Coturnix japonica: one gene and its partners. The protein of the gene in region 1 purifies or fractionates together with the protein of each later gene. This does not show direct contact. Links are inferred from orthologs where the notes say so. Each region holds a gene or a part of one and is shown on either strand. Other genes may lie near its edges. The genes, in order: MIA2, PREB and MIA3.

Evidence for each region.
Region 2: the proteins of MIA2 (region 1) and PREB purify together in Homo sapiens (affinity purification with western blotting; 3 studies listed by BioGRID and IntAct, with this or other methods). This does not show direct contact. The link is inferred for Coturnix japonica from reciprocal best matches to the Homo sapiens genes MIA2 and PREB.
Region 3: the proteins of MIA2 (region 1) and MIA3 purify together in Homo sapiens (affinity purification with western blotting; 6 studies listed by BioGRID and IntAct, counting the BioPlex papers as one, with this or other methods). This does not show direct contact. The link is inferred for Coturnix japonica from reciprocal best matches to the Homo sapiens genes MIA2 and MIA3.

What each region holds. Positions count from the first base shown.
Region 1 is NC_029520.1:34,149,911-34,153,558, forward strand, and holds part of MIA2 (melanoma inhibitory activity protein 2), read left to right. Parts: intron 1-1,649; coding exon 1,650-1,808; intron 1,809-2,437; coding exon 2,438-2,563; intron 2,564-3,358; coding exon 3,359-3,435; intron 3,436-3,648. UniProt on the Homo sapiens protein: Plays a role in the transport of cargos that are too large to fit into COPII-coated vesicles and require specific mechanisms to be incorporated into membrane-bound carriers and exported from the endoplasmic reticulum.
Region 2 is NC_029518.1:95,350,529-95,354,711, reverse strand, and holds PREB (prolactin regulatory element-binding protein), read right to left. Parts: upstream 2,728-4,183; 5' UTR 2,665-2,727; coding exon 2,533-2,664; intron 2,454-2,532; coding exon 2,270-2,453; intron 2,158-2,269; coding exon 1,943-2,157; intron 1,878-1,942; coding exon 1,797-1,877; intron 1,724-1,796; coding exon 1,599-1,723; intron 1,498-1,598; coding exon 1,324-1,497; intron 1,257-1,323; coding exon 1,184-1,256; intron 1,115-1,183; coding exon 955-1,114; intron 878-954; coding exon 783-877; 3' UTR 632-782; downstream 1-631. Other genes in the region: SLC5A6 (sodium-dependent multivitamin transporter), read right to left, coding at 3,057-3,185, 3,280-3,401, 3,471-3,574, 3,654-3,835, 3,917-4,003, 4,090-4,157.
Region 3 is NC_029518.1:15,697,113-15,700,227, forward strand, and holds part of MIA3 (transport and Golgi organization protein 1 homolog), read right to left. Parts: intron 2,937-3,115; coding exon 2,887-2,936; intron 2,800-2,886; coding exon 2,709-2,799; intron 2,582-2,708; coding exon 2,443-2,581; intron 2,020-2,442; coding exon 1,918-2,019; intron 1,780-1,917; coding exon 1,719-1,779; intron 1,610-1,718; coding exon 1,574-1,609; intron 1,483-1,573; coding exon 1,415-1,482; intron 1,022-1,414; coding exon 924-1,021; intron 785-923; coding exon 653-784; intron 466-652; coding exon 397-465; intron 266-396; coding exon 189-265; intron 43-188; coding exon 1-42.

The DNA of each region.
Region 1 (3,648 bases):
GGATTCAATTCAACAAGTTGAGAAAAGAACCAAACTTGGTCCTATTTCTTGGACAAATGCAGTTCTGCTGAAATAATTTCTGATGTTAAGTTAAATGAGTCAATTAGATTTCTGAAGGAAAAATACAGACGCTTCCATTTCATTCATTTAAAGAGAGAGAAGGAAAGTGGAGGTATCTTCATTCTCAACATTGTACTGAGAATCATGAAAAATGGTTCTGTAGGAAGTTACTGATTCAGTGAAGTGCTTCTCTCCCTTTAGTTTTGAAGTTTGAGGCAGTCATTGTATGCGGGGATAGTCTTATTCCTAGTGCTGAAAGAGAACAGGAAGGCTGTGTATAAGGAGAAGGAGTTGAGGAGTAGTTAAAGGAAAGCCGTGCTGTCATAGGTCGTAAGGGAAGGAATCATGACTCCTTCATGTTTGATGCTTTAATGGAAACAGCGTGGGTGAGTTCTAGTATGGAGTTTAGCATCTGTTACAGGTAATGAAGAAGCTACTAATATAACTTAGTACTGCTGCAAAATCTGTTGGCAACTGTACTTAATGGGAAATATGTCAAAATATTTATAAAATATATAAAAATATTTATATTTCAATAATCAACATTGATTTTTAAAAAATAGTATTGTCTGCTTGTGTACTTTAATTCTCTGTAAATAATATACCTGGCTCCATCTGAAAGTTGATTCATGTTCTGAGAGAGGGGAAAAAAAGCTGAGGTTGAATGTTCCACCATAGCTGTACCACAAACAAGAAGAATTACAGGCTTGGCAACTTCTCCTTGAATAGGGGCAATAAGTATTGAAATTTCGATGTCATGCAAATCTTTAAATTGTAGCTCAGCTCTTACTGGTGAGTAAGAGTGAAAAGTGGATTTCAAAGTGGAGTCATAGTAGGGAAGGTAACTATGCAAAGGCATGACTCTGCTTCATTTTGCAATACAACACTTAATATAACTTGGATAGATTAAACAAATGATGTGTGTAGTTGATGTAACTGCAGAGTAATTATAGTGCTCGTCTCACTTTGTGCAAGGTAGAAAATGGCTTTGAATTCTAGGTTGAATTTTGGAATAGAGGAGGATGCCAGAATTATGTATTCTGTCAATCTTCAGACCGAGTCTTACCTGAAAGGAAAGCATACACCTGAAGTCACAATTTCTCTTCCACTTACTTATATGTTGACCAGGTCTTTTCTATTATTTTCTTTCTTACAATAGAGAGGATGAGAATAGTTTTGAATATAGTATGAATAGATATTTTGAATGAGGATATTAACTTTGAGTGATAATTTTTAACTCAATGAGGTTTTGCTAGTGGCCATTACTGTAGTGCTAACAATAACCTTCACCATGAAGGCGGTAGTTTCTCTGCATTAACAAGTACTCTTAAAAATGATTTTAAAACGATCAGGTACTGTAGAGTGCAGTTCTCTTGAACGAATATATTTTCCTTCCAAACAAACCTTAAAAGGCTCCTTGTAAATCACCATCAGCAAACAGCTGGAGATTCCTGTGGACCTTTGCTCCTCTCGTATCTTGAAAGTGTTGGCATTTTGTGATGCATTCCGTTGTTTTCAGTCTTAATGAAGAAAGACATAATGGAGGTTTTAAAAACCTGAGTAAATAGCTCTCTGATTTCTTCAATTAGGATCTAGAGGACCAGGATCTACTGTTATGTACGAAGCCAGTAATGAACGAGGAGACATGAGTTCTGATAGATTAACTGATCCCCACAGACCACCATCAGATACTGGATCCCTGTCTCCTCCCTGGGACAGAGAACGCAGGATCATTCTGCCTCCATCAGGTACAGAAATTTGCTTGACTACTGGAAGAATGGAATTACTGACTTATGGTGTATATATTTAAGTATTTTGTGTCTGTATTAAAGAAACAAAGATACTACAATTTTAAAAACCAGCATTTAAAATAAAGCTATAGAACAACTGTCAGTTGCAGCAAGATATTATGGTTGCATATAAGCCTCCTCAGCTGCATATGAGCCTGATCATGAAACTCAAAGTTCATTCAAGGTGAACTTTCCTATTTGCCAGATCTCAGCTACTTCCAGGACATTGCAGCGGTAGTCCTGTTTTCCTGTCCAGAACTGTGTTCATACCCACCTCTGAATCTCTCTGCTGCAGTTTGCCTTGTAGCTCCGTAATAGCTCAATTCAGTGCAAGTAAATTGGAAATGTGTTAGAGAACGCAATGAACTGTAATGGGAAATGTCACTCTTAGATTAGTGTGATTTAAAATAAACGGTGGTCTATTTTTATATTGGCCTTCGTTACTGAAGGAAAGATTGTTTTCCCACCCTGATTAACAGTCACTTTGACTATTTCCAAGAGCATAAGATAGCCAGAGGATTTTGCTGGTGTAAAATTGTATGAAACACAGACCTGTTTGGTGATATTTTCTTTTTCCCCAATGACAGGTGAGCCTTATACTGATTCAGTTCTTCCTCCTCGAAGACAAGAAAGATTCTTCCCTCCAAATACTGGAAGACTTTCTGGTCCAGCAGAGCTGCGGACTTACAATATGCAGTCTTTTGATAAGACAGGTGGGAACTGCTTTACCTGGCTCCTGTGGTTCGAGCAACTGGAGAATCTCAGTGTAGGAGGACTGTATGAAGCCATGGGAGGAATTAGCAATAACATCCTCTTCTGAGTACATGGTTCTTGGGCAGTTTGTAGCCTACTTAATAGAAACAGCAGATAACATTTGGATAATGTTGCTGCCAACATCTAGCAGCTCATTAAGCTTGTGAATGTTGCTTTTTCAAGGCATATAATTTCACCAGACTTAGGCATTTGTAAAAATACACCCATCAGCATCTTATCTCAGAAGAGCAACATCTCACAGTAGTGGAGTCCAGGCTCCAACTCTAAGGTGAATTGACTACAAATACTCAGCAAGCTAACATAGAATCAGAGAATCATAGAATTACCTGGGTTGGAAAAGACCTTGAAGACCATCAAGTTCAACCGCAGCCTAACCATAGTGCCCTTATGCCTTTTCCTAAGATGAGATGCGTAACACCAAAACTTTAGCTTAAGTCAGATATCTGAAGAGCAAGAAACTTGTCAGAAGGGCTAAAGTTTGATAGAGTTTGAGAGCAGCTTAACGAGGATTTAAAATAGAAAGTTTTATGCAGCTTGAGTGTCGAGGAACAAATATTCAGGCTGGTGAAAATGCTGAAGTGTAGCTTTTGTGTTCCTTGGTTGTCTTTCTGTCTGCTCACAGAGTCGTTGCTTGGCATGGCAGTATGTTTAATTTTCTTGCCTGTATCTTCTGATATAAGAAAAGAAACTGGTTGGGATCAGCATTGAGTAACTTGTTTAACTTCTGCATACAGATGGGCAGACGTCTTCAGAAAATAGCCCACTGACAGAACCAAGTGGAAATGAGATGAAAGATAATTCTAATCTTAGCGTAAGTAGCTAAGCAGAAACTTGATTTACAATATATTTTTAAAAATATGGAAAAAAATGTCTGTAATACTCAGTAACGTATTGCATTGTGCAGTCCAAGCTATAAAAATTGTGTGTGGACTTTTATCGCAGTATTCACTGTCTTGTGAGTTAATTTTGAGATGTTAGGAGCATAATCACTGCTGAAAACTAATTAAAACCTGAGAGGTGAAAC
Region 2 (4,183 bases), on another chromosome or scaffold:
TTGCTCGTCCCCTCGCCCCCAGGCTCGCACCATCCGGGAGTTCGATGAGCGTTACACCGCTCCTGCCTTCGGGTACAGCTCCTGCACGGAGTATTACCGTGCCGCCAGCCCTGCCAGCAGCCTGCAGAACATCCGTGTGCCCACGCTGTGCCTCAACGCCGCCGATGACCCCTTCTCCCCCATGCACGGTGAGTGGGGCCGTGCCCAGCCCTATGGTGTTGTAGGGCCGGCAGCTGACCCGCGTGTCCCCTCGCAGCCATCCCCGTGGCGGCCGCCTGGCACCTGCCCCACGTAGCACTGCTGGTGACGTCGTGTGGAGGCCACATCGGGTTCCTGGAGGGGCTGCTGCCGTGGCACGGTGGTCTCATGGAGCGCCTCTTCCTGCAGTTTGTCACTGCCGTGTTCCAGCACGGGGAGGAGCTGCAGGGGCTGCAGGATGAGGGGGCTGTGGAGGAGGTCAGCGCCTGCTGCCCCCCTTGAACCCCCTCCAAGTCCCAATAAACCCGTTCCCGTCCTCACTGAGCCCTCTCCCACCCCTACGGCCCCACTCCTATCCCTTTCCCACCCCAGCAGGGGGGCATGGAGGACAGGGAGGCTGGCAGACCCTTACAGCCTCAGCACAGACAACACCTTCACACTCTGGGTTTAATGGTGGGGACAAGGAGCAGCTCCAGCCCAGCTACTGGCATGCTGCATTCCATTGCCTTGCTGGCACTGTATCCCAGGGCGGTCCCACTCCCATAGCTGGGTCCATCCATCCCCCAATACAGCAGGGTGGGTGCCTAGAGGAAGCCAGGGAAGGCAATCTGCAGCAGCACGATGCTGCCCACGATGAGTGCGGCACACAGCAGCAGCAACAGCCAGATGGGCAGCGACCCTGGGGGTGGGGGGAGAAAGGAGGCTGAGAGGTGGGGTCCTGCAGGGTGTCCCGGCCCCACAGCCCCACACACATACTGCGGGCAGGCAGCAGGTGCAGCTTGCAGCGGCTGTCCACGGCCACACTGAGCAGTGCTGCCTCGTTCCCCGCCAGCAGCTCCCGTCCTTGCTCGCTCTCAGGCACGAAGGCCACGTCCGTGACGACGATGCCATGTGCCTCCTTCACGTAGTACAGCCTCTGAAGGGGGACACACATGAGGTGAGGGTTGCCCCGTTGCCCACTGTACCCTCCCTGTGCCACACTCACCTGCAGCGAGAATGCGATGTGCACAGCGACGGAGCCGGTGACGGTGCCCAGCCCCAGGAAGGTGCCTGAATCACTGTGGGGAGGGGGGCGGTGAGCAGGGCTGGGAGCGGATGGGGGCGGTGGGGAACCTCCTCACTTACCTGACGGAGAGGCAGGAGATGACCTCGGAGCCGCAGGGCCGTGTCAGCAGCGGCAGGAAGGTGCCCCCGTCCCACTTGGTCAGGTAGCAGGGTGGGGGGCGGCGCTCCCGCTTGTGGGGCACCTGCACCGTGTAGAGCCGCAGCGCCCCGCAGTTGTCCTCCACCGCCCCAAAGCTGGTACGGGGTAGCAAAGGGGAGCTGAGCCCGTGCTGCCGGGGGGCGGCCCCATGGGGTCACCACCGCTGTCCTACAGCACGGCCCAGCCCCGCACCCACCGGCAGGCCTGGTAGCGGTACGCGGTGCCAGGGACGCCGGGCAGGTTCTCGTTCCATTGCAGCCCGGTCACCAGCTGGTCCCGCTGCCACACTCGGCACTGCAGGTCCCGTCCGGCCGTCACCACCTGCCGGGCACACGCCGGCTGCGGCTCGTTCTGCCGCTCATTAGGGGTCCCCCGGCCCTCGCCCCCCACCCACCTTATTGTCGGGGCCCAGCGTGATGTCCTCGATCTCCCCGTCGTGCGCCTTGAACTCCAGCGCCTTCTTCATGCTGGGGAACTGCGGCGGCCGTCAGCGGATCCCCGACAGGCGACCCCTCCCGGCCCCTCCCGCTCCGCTCCCACCTCCCAGAGCCGCACGAATCCGTCGGCGCCTCCGGTGACGAGCACGGTGCCGTCGGCGCTGAAGCGCACGGCCTTCTGCAGCGCGTCGGGGCTGAAGTCGGTGCGCACGCGGTGCAGACTCTCCACCGACACCTCCCCGCCGTCGCTCCGCGTCTCGCCGCGCTCCGCGGGGCCGGTTCCTCCCTTCCTCCTGCGCGGCCCTTTCTCCTCCGCGGCTGCGGGGACGGAGACCGGCCGTGTGAGCGCCCCGCAGGTAATGCCCACCCCGCAGGTAATGCCCACCCCGCAGCCCGCACACCGGCCCCGTCGCCCCGCGGCCCCGCTCACCGTCGCCGCCTCCCTTGCCGGCCGTTGGCACGCAGAGCCGCAGGATGTGGCAGCTGTGGTCCTGCCCCGCCGCGATGAAGTCCCCGCTGATGGCCATGCTCATGGTGGCGCGGGTCTCGGTGTCGTGGCAGTGCAGCAGCGACGCGCTCAGCCGCCCCCCGATCTGCTCCAGCCGCAGGAAGTGCTGCGGGACCGCGCCGCTCAGCACCGAAACCGGGAGCCCCGCGCTCGTTCACCCCCCGGCCCTAAACCCCGCACCGCACCACTCCATTGCCGATCCCGGTCTTGGCCGCTCCTCCGCCTCCAGCGGTGATGGCGAGTCCGCGGCGCGGGTGCAGCCGGACGGTGTAGAGAGGGAACGGCGCCCGGTACAGCTCGGTCGGGCGCGGCGCCATTGCGGGAACGGCGCGACGCGTCAGCGCCCCGCGCAGCGCAGCCCCGCCCCGCACAGCGCCGGTACCGCCCCGCACAGCGCAGCCCCGCCCCGCACCCCGCCGGTACCGCCCACCGATCGCCGCCGCTTCCGCACATCAAGCCCCGCCCCCTGGACCCACGGCCCCGCCCCCTGCTCGGTACCAGCCCCACGCGTGCCCCGCGGCCCCACGTACCGCACGATGCCGCAGCCCCGTGGGTCCCTCACCCCCCCAGCCCCGCCGGACCCGTCGCTGTCCATAACGGTTTATTGAGGTGCAGGTAGGGAGAGAGAACAGCACGGCACCGCTCCGCATCGTGCTCCCACCCGCGCCCCCCCCCAGGCAGCACCGGCCCCGGGGGTCCCTCGTCCCGCTCAGAACGCCGTCTCCTGCACCGTGTATGCGGGCGGCCCGTAGCCCCGCTCCTCCGTGTCGTCCCGTGGCGCAGCTCCCAGCCCGTTGGGAACGCGCTTCTCGGCTGCGGGTGACGGCTGGGGGGCGTCCTGCGGGCACGTGGCGATGGGGGGCGGTAGGGTTATGCACAGACACCTCCCGCCCCACAACCCGCTGCCCCCCGTCCCGCTGCGAGCCGCTCACCTGCGTGGGGAAGCGCACCCCGCAGCACAGCCGCTGCCGGTAACGGGCGGGCAGACAGCGCAGCAGCCGCGGCAGCACCGGGAAAATGGTGCGGGGATCCACGGCAGAGGGCGGTGTGGGGCCTGGAGGGTCATAGGGGTGAGAGGGATGCTGGGGGGGGAGGAGCACCCGGCCCCACATCCGGCACCCACCGGTGAGCAGGCTGACCAGGAGCCCCACCGCGATGACGGTGGTGGAGTTGTGGGCGCTGTACCACATGTACGAGAGGCGGTAGAACTTCTGCAGGCCTGTGGGGCTGGGGGGGGTATAGGTGGTGACGGGGGGGTGCAAGTCAGACCCTCACAGACCACCCCCATCAGCCCCAAGGTGCTCACCTCGGGGGGGGCGTCGTGGGGGTGAGCAGCGTGGTGGTGAGTACGGCTGGTGTGGTCACGTTGATGGGGAGGGGCACGGTGCTGTTGGCCATAGGGGCGGCGCCCCCAGCGCTGGCCACCAGGCTGCCGATGCCCACCCAGAAGGCCATGGCCAGCCCGGCCAGCAGCCCCACCACCGCACCCTGTGGGGGGACAGGCACTCAGACACTTGGTGGCACCGGACAGGGTGGCTGTGGTGGGGGGGAGGTGTCAGGGGTACTCACTGTGGGGTTGGCACAGGGGAAGAACATCCCCAGGCAGAAGAGCCCCAGCAGCGGCCCCCCCACCATGCCGAAGATACTGATGGCCGCCTGCGGGGAGATGGTACCATTTTGGGGTCGAATGGGGGAAATAGGGACTGCGAGGCCGGGGATGACCCCAGCACCCCATCACCTACCTGCAGCACAGGGCCCAGCATGGAGGACACGTAGGCCATCCCCAGGCACAGCAGCCCATAGCCAAACGCTGGGGATGGACGGATGGATGGAGGG
Region 3 (3,115 bases), on another chromosome or scaffold:
AGTAGTTACACAGGGGGCTTCAGGCTCTTTGGGAGAGGGCTGCTTTTTTTGGGGAAAGGGGCAGACATCAAATAAAGTAGTGACAGGAGGACATAAGATAGAACATGACACAATTAAAGCAGCAGCAGGAAGTACAGTGAATTGTGGATTAGAAACGTTTCCTGAAGGTTGTTTCCTTCTCAGCTTACCGCCCTGTCCTTTGCTGTGGCAGGAGAGGAGGTTCTCGGCCCAGCGCTGATCAGAGATGCTACAGCAGGCCCAAGATCTGCAGAGAGAGCCACAAAGGCAGGTCTTAGTCATGCTTTGGGAAAAGGAATGTGGTTCTTCAAGATCCATTGCTGATGTGAAAGATTAAGTGAGTACACTGTGCAATTGGTGGCAGGTCATATAACTTACCAGGAACAGACATCCTTCCAGGGAGCTCTGGTTGCCTCCGTGGAACGGGGGGGCCATCTACCACTGTACCTTAAGAGAAACAACACCAGAGATTCTAATCAACACATGCTTGAGCTACTTCAAAATAAATCCATCTGTGTATTAACAGAGCAGATATCAATACTTACACAACCCCTAGAACCAAAATCAGACCTTAGCATTCTTGGGCTTGCAGTGTGTAAGGTGCACAAGACAGGAAGGAACACTCTCTGCTTACCAAATTCAGCTCTTGAGCCTTCCCTCTGAGGAGCAGAAAGGGGCCTACTGGGAACTTCCATCATCTGTGTGGGTGACGGATTTCCTCCACTCACAGGTGATGGACCAAAAGAACCATCTCTACTTAAGGGCACTGCAGCAAGAAAAATCAACGAAGGAAAGTAAATCACATTGGTTTTGTTACTATATCACAGCCTTTGGGGTTTTGGATTATTTTTTTAAGAACAGACTGATTTTAAGACCACAGCTTTGGGAGAAACAGGAGCACTCACCTCGGCGTGGTGGGACTTGGCGATCAGGTCTGCCTGGAGTTGGCTTTACAATGAGCGGTCTTTGAAGCATGATGATTTTTTGGTTCACCTCCATTAATCTAAATTCAACAGATAGTAACTTAAATATAGGTATATATATACACACATGTATATACATGTATGTCTATACACTATACATATAACATAATAATACATACATGAGAGTTGTATTTGTTGTATTGTTGTATTACAAGTAACAGTATCACAGAAACTACTTTGTAACATGTTTGAGCTTTTACCCAGAAATCCTATTTTAACCATCAAAACAAGCTCAAAGCTTAAAGTTGTTATTCATTTGTGCACCACAGAGATTTGATCTCCAAAGAGATCAAACCAACCTCTCCATCTCCCACATACAGAAACAGGCTGACCGTGCACCTTGCAGAATTTAAGCTCCTCCTTGCCTAACAACATGATCCCAGAGCAATGAAAGCAGCTTGTACTGTACTCACTTCTGTCTCAGGTTGGCTGCTTCTCTCTTCTCTTCAGCCAGAGCTCTCTCAGCAGAACGGGCAATAAGCTGTCAGGGAAAGTTTTGCCAGCTGCATTAACTGCATCAGCCAGAAGCCAAATACAAGATGTTCGTATCAAAAAGGGAAGAACGCTCTTACCCAGTTGTCGTGCGCTTTTTTCTCATGAGCAGCAATCTTGAGAAGAGAAGAAAAGAAGTATGTTAATTCTTTTCTTCTGACAACTTGATTTGCTAGAACTCATTACAGAGTATTAGAATGATGCAGAAAGTAGCAGACAATTCACCTGGTTTTTGTAAGATCTCTCTGTTTTCTGCAATTCCTCTTCCATATCTTGAATCCTCTGCCTTTATGAAAAGAAAAACAAAAAAAAAAGGGGGGGGGGGGGGGGGGGGGGGGGGAAGAGGGAAAAGAGAGTAATTAAATGATTTTTCCTCAGTAGCTGAAATAAAGAGAAACAACAGCCTTCAGGAAACCAAAGTTACTTGTAAACTTTCACTTCCTCGATAGCCAGCACGGCCTTTTCATCTGCAGCAGACAGCTTCTGCTCCTTCTCCTGGCGCTCATACTCTTCTTGTGTTAGCTTTCTACACAAGGAAAAACAAACAGATTAAAAAATGTACTTCACCCATTCTACCCATCCTCTATCTCTTACGTGATAACTTTTCACACCCTCTTTAACCTTATTCTTCACTAACTGTACTGTTTTTGACATTTCTCTGCATGTACTGAGGAGGCTCCTAATGTCTTCCTCTCTTACAACCGCCTCGCCATCAGAACCTCAGTCTTACATCATCTAACTGAAAACATCCCTGAATCTTACCTAATATTTTCCACGCTAAACTGAGATTGTATTACAGACATCTCAGTAAGAAAAGAAAGTAATCCAAGAATGATACATGCATCTGTATTCATAAGTAGTTCTTCAGTGCTAGTGATTCATCCACCTCAGCCATCAACATGCACTCAAACAATTTAGCAATCTCATGGAAGAGTAATTGCAGGCTTACTTCTGGAGCGCCATTTCTTTCTGCTGGTACAGTTCACCGAGGATCTCCACTTTTTGCTGTAGTGTTTTACATTCATTTTCCAGCCGAGCTTTGGCTGATTGCAGTGAGGAGGAGTCGTGTTCTAATTTTTTTATTTGCTCTGTTGGAGAAGCAGAGGTAAGTGAGGAATTTGCAACTGGAACTGTTACACAACTTAAGTGTTCTGGTTGTTTCTAAATCGCAAACAGCATTTCATTCAAAGCCATTGTTTTACTAAGTCTACCCACCCTCCAGCTCATGTCTCGCTGCTACTTCATCACTCAGCTTGGACTGCAGAGAATTTCTGTCTTCTTCGACTAGAGATAACATAGTTTTTACCTGGAAAAAAAAGGATCAGCAGAAAGTTTACAATCTCGGGCATAGCAGTAATGTAACTGTATTTATTCATCATCTTGTGTAGCATACCCTGGAGGCATCCATCATCTGTTTAATCTGAGTCTTCATCTTCTCATTATCTAGAAGAGAAAAATGCATTTGTTTTCACTGTTTCTTAATCCCAATTCCCTGAACTCTACAGCTGTTAAAAATAACATTCCCCACCTTTCAATGTGGGATCGGTCCAAAGGAAAAAAGACAGGGAGTTGTGTAGGAAATGCAACAAAACACAACAGCAGCTCACTGCCCAGCACAAGAG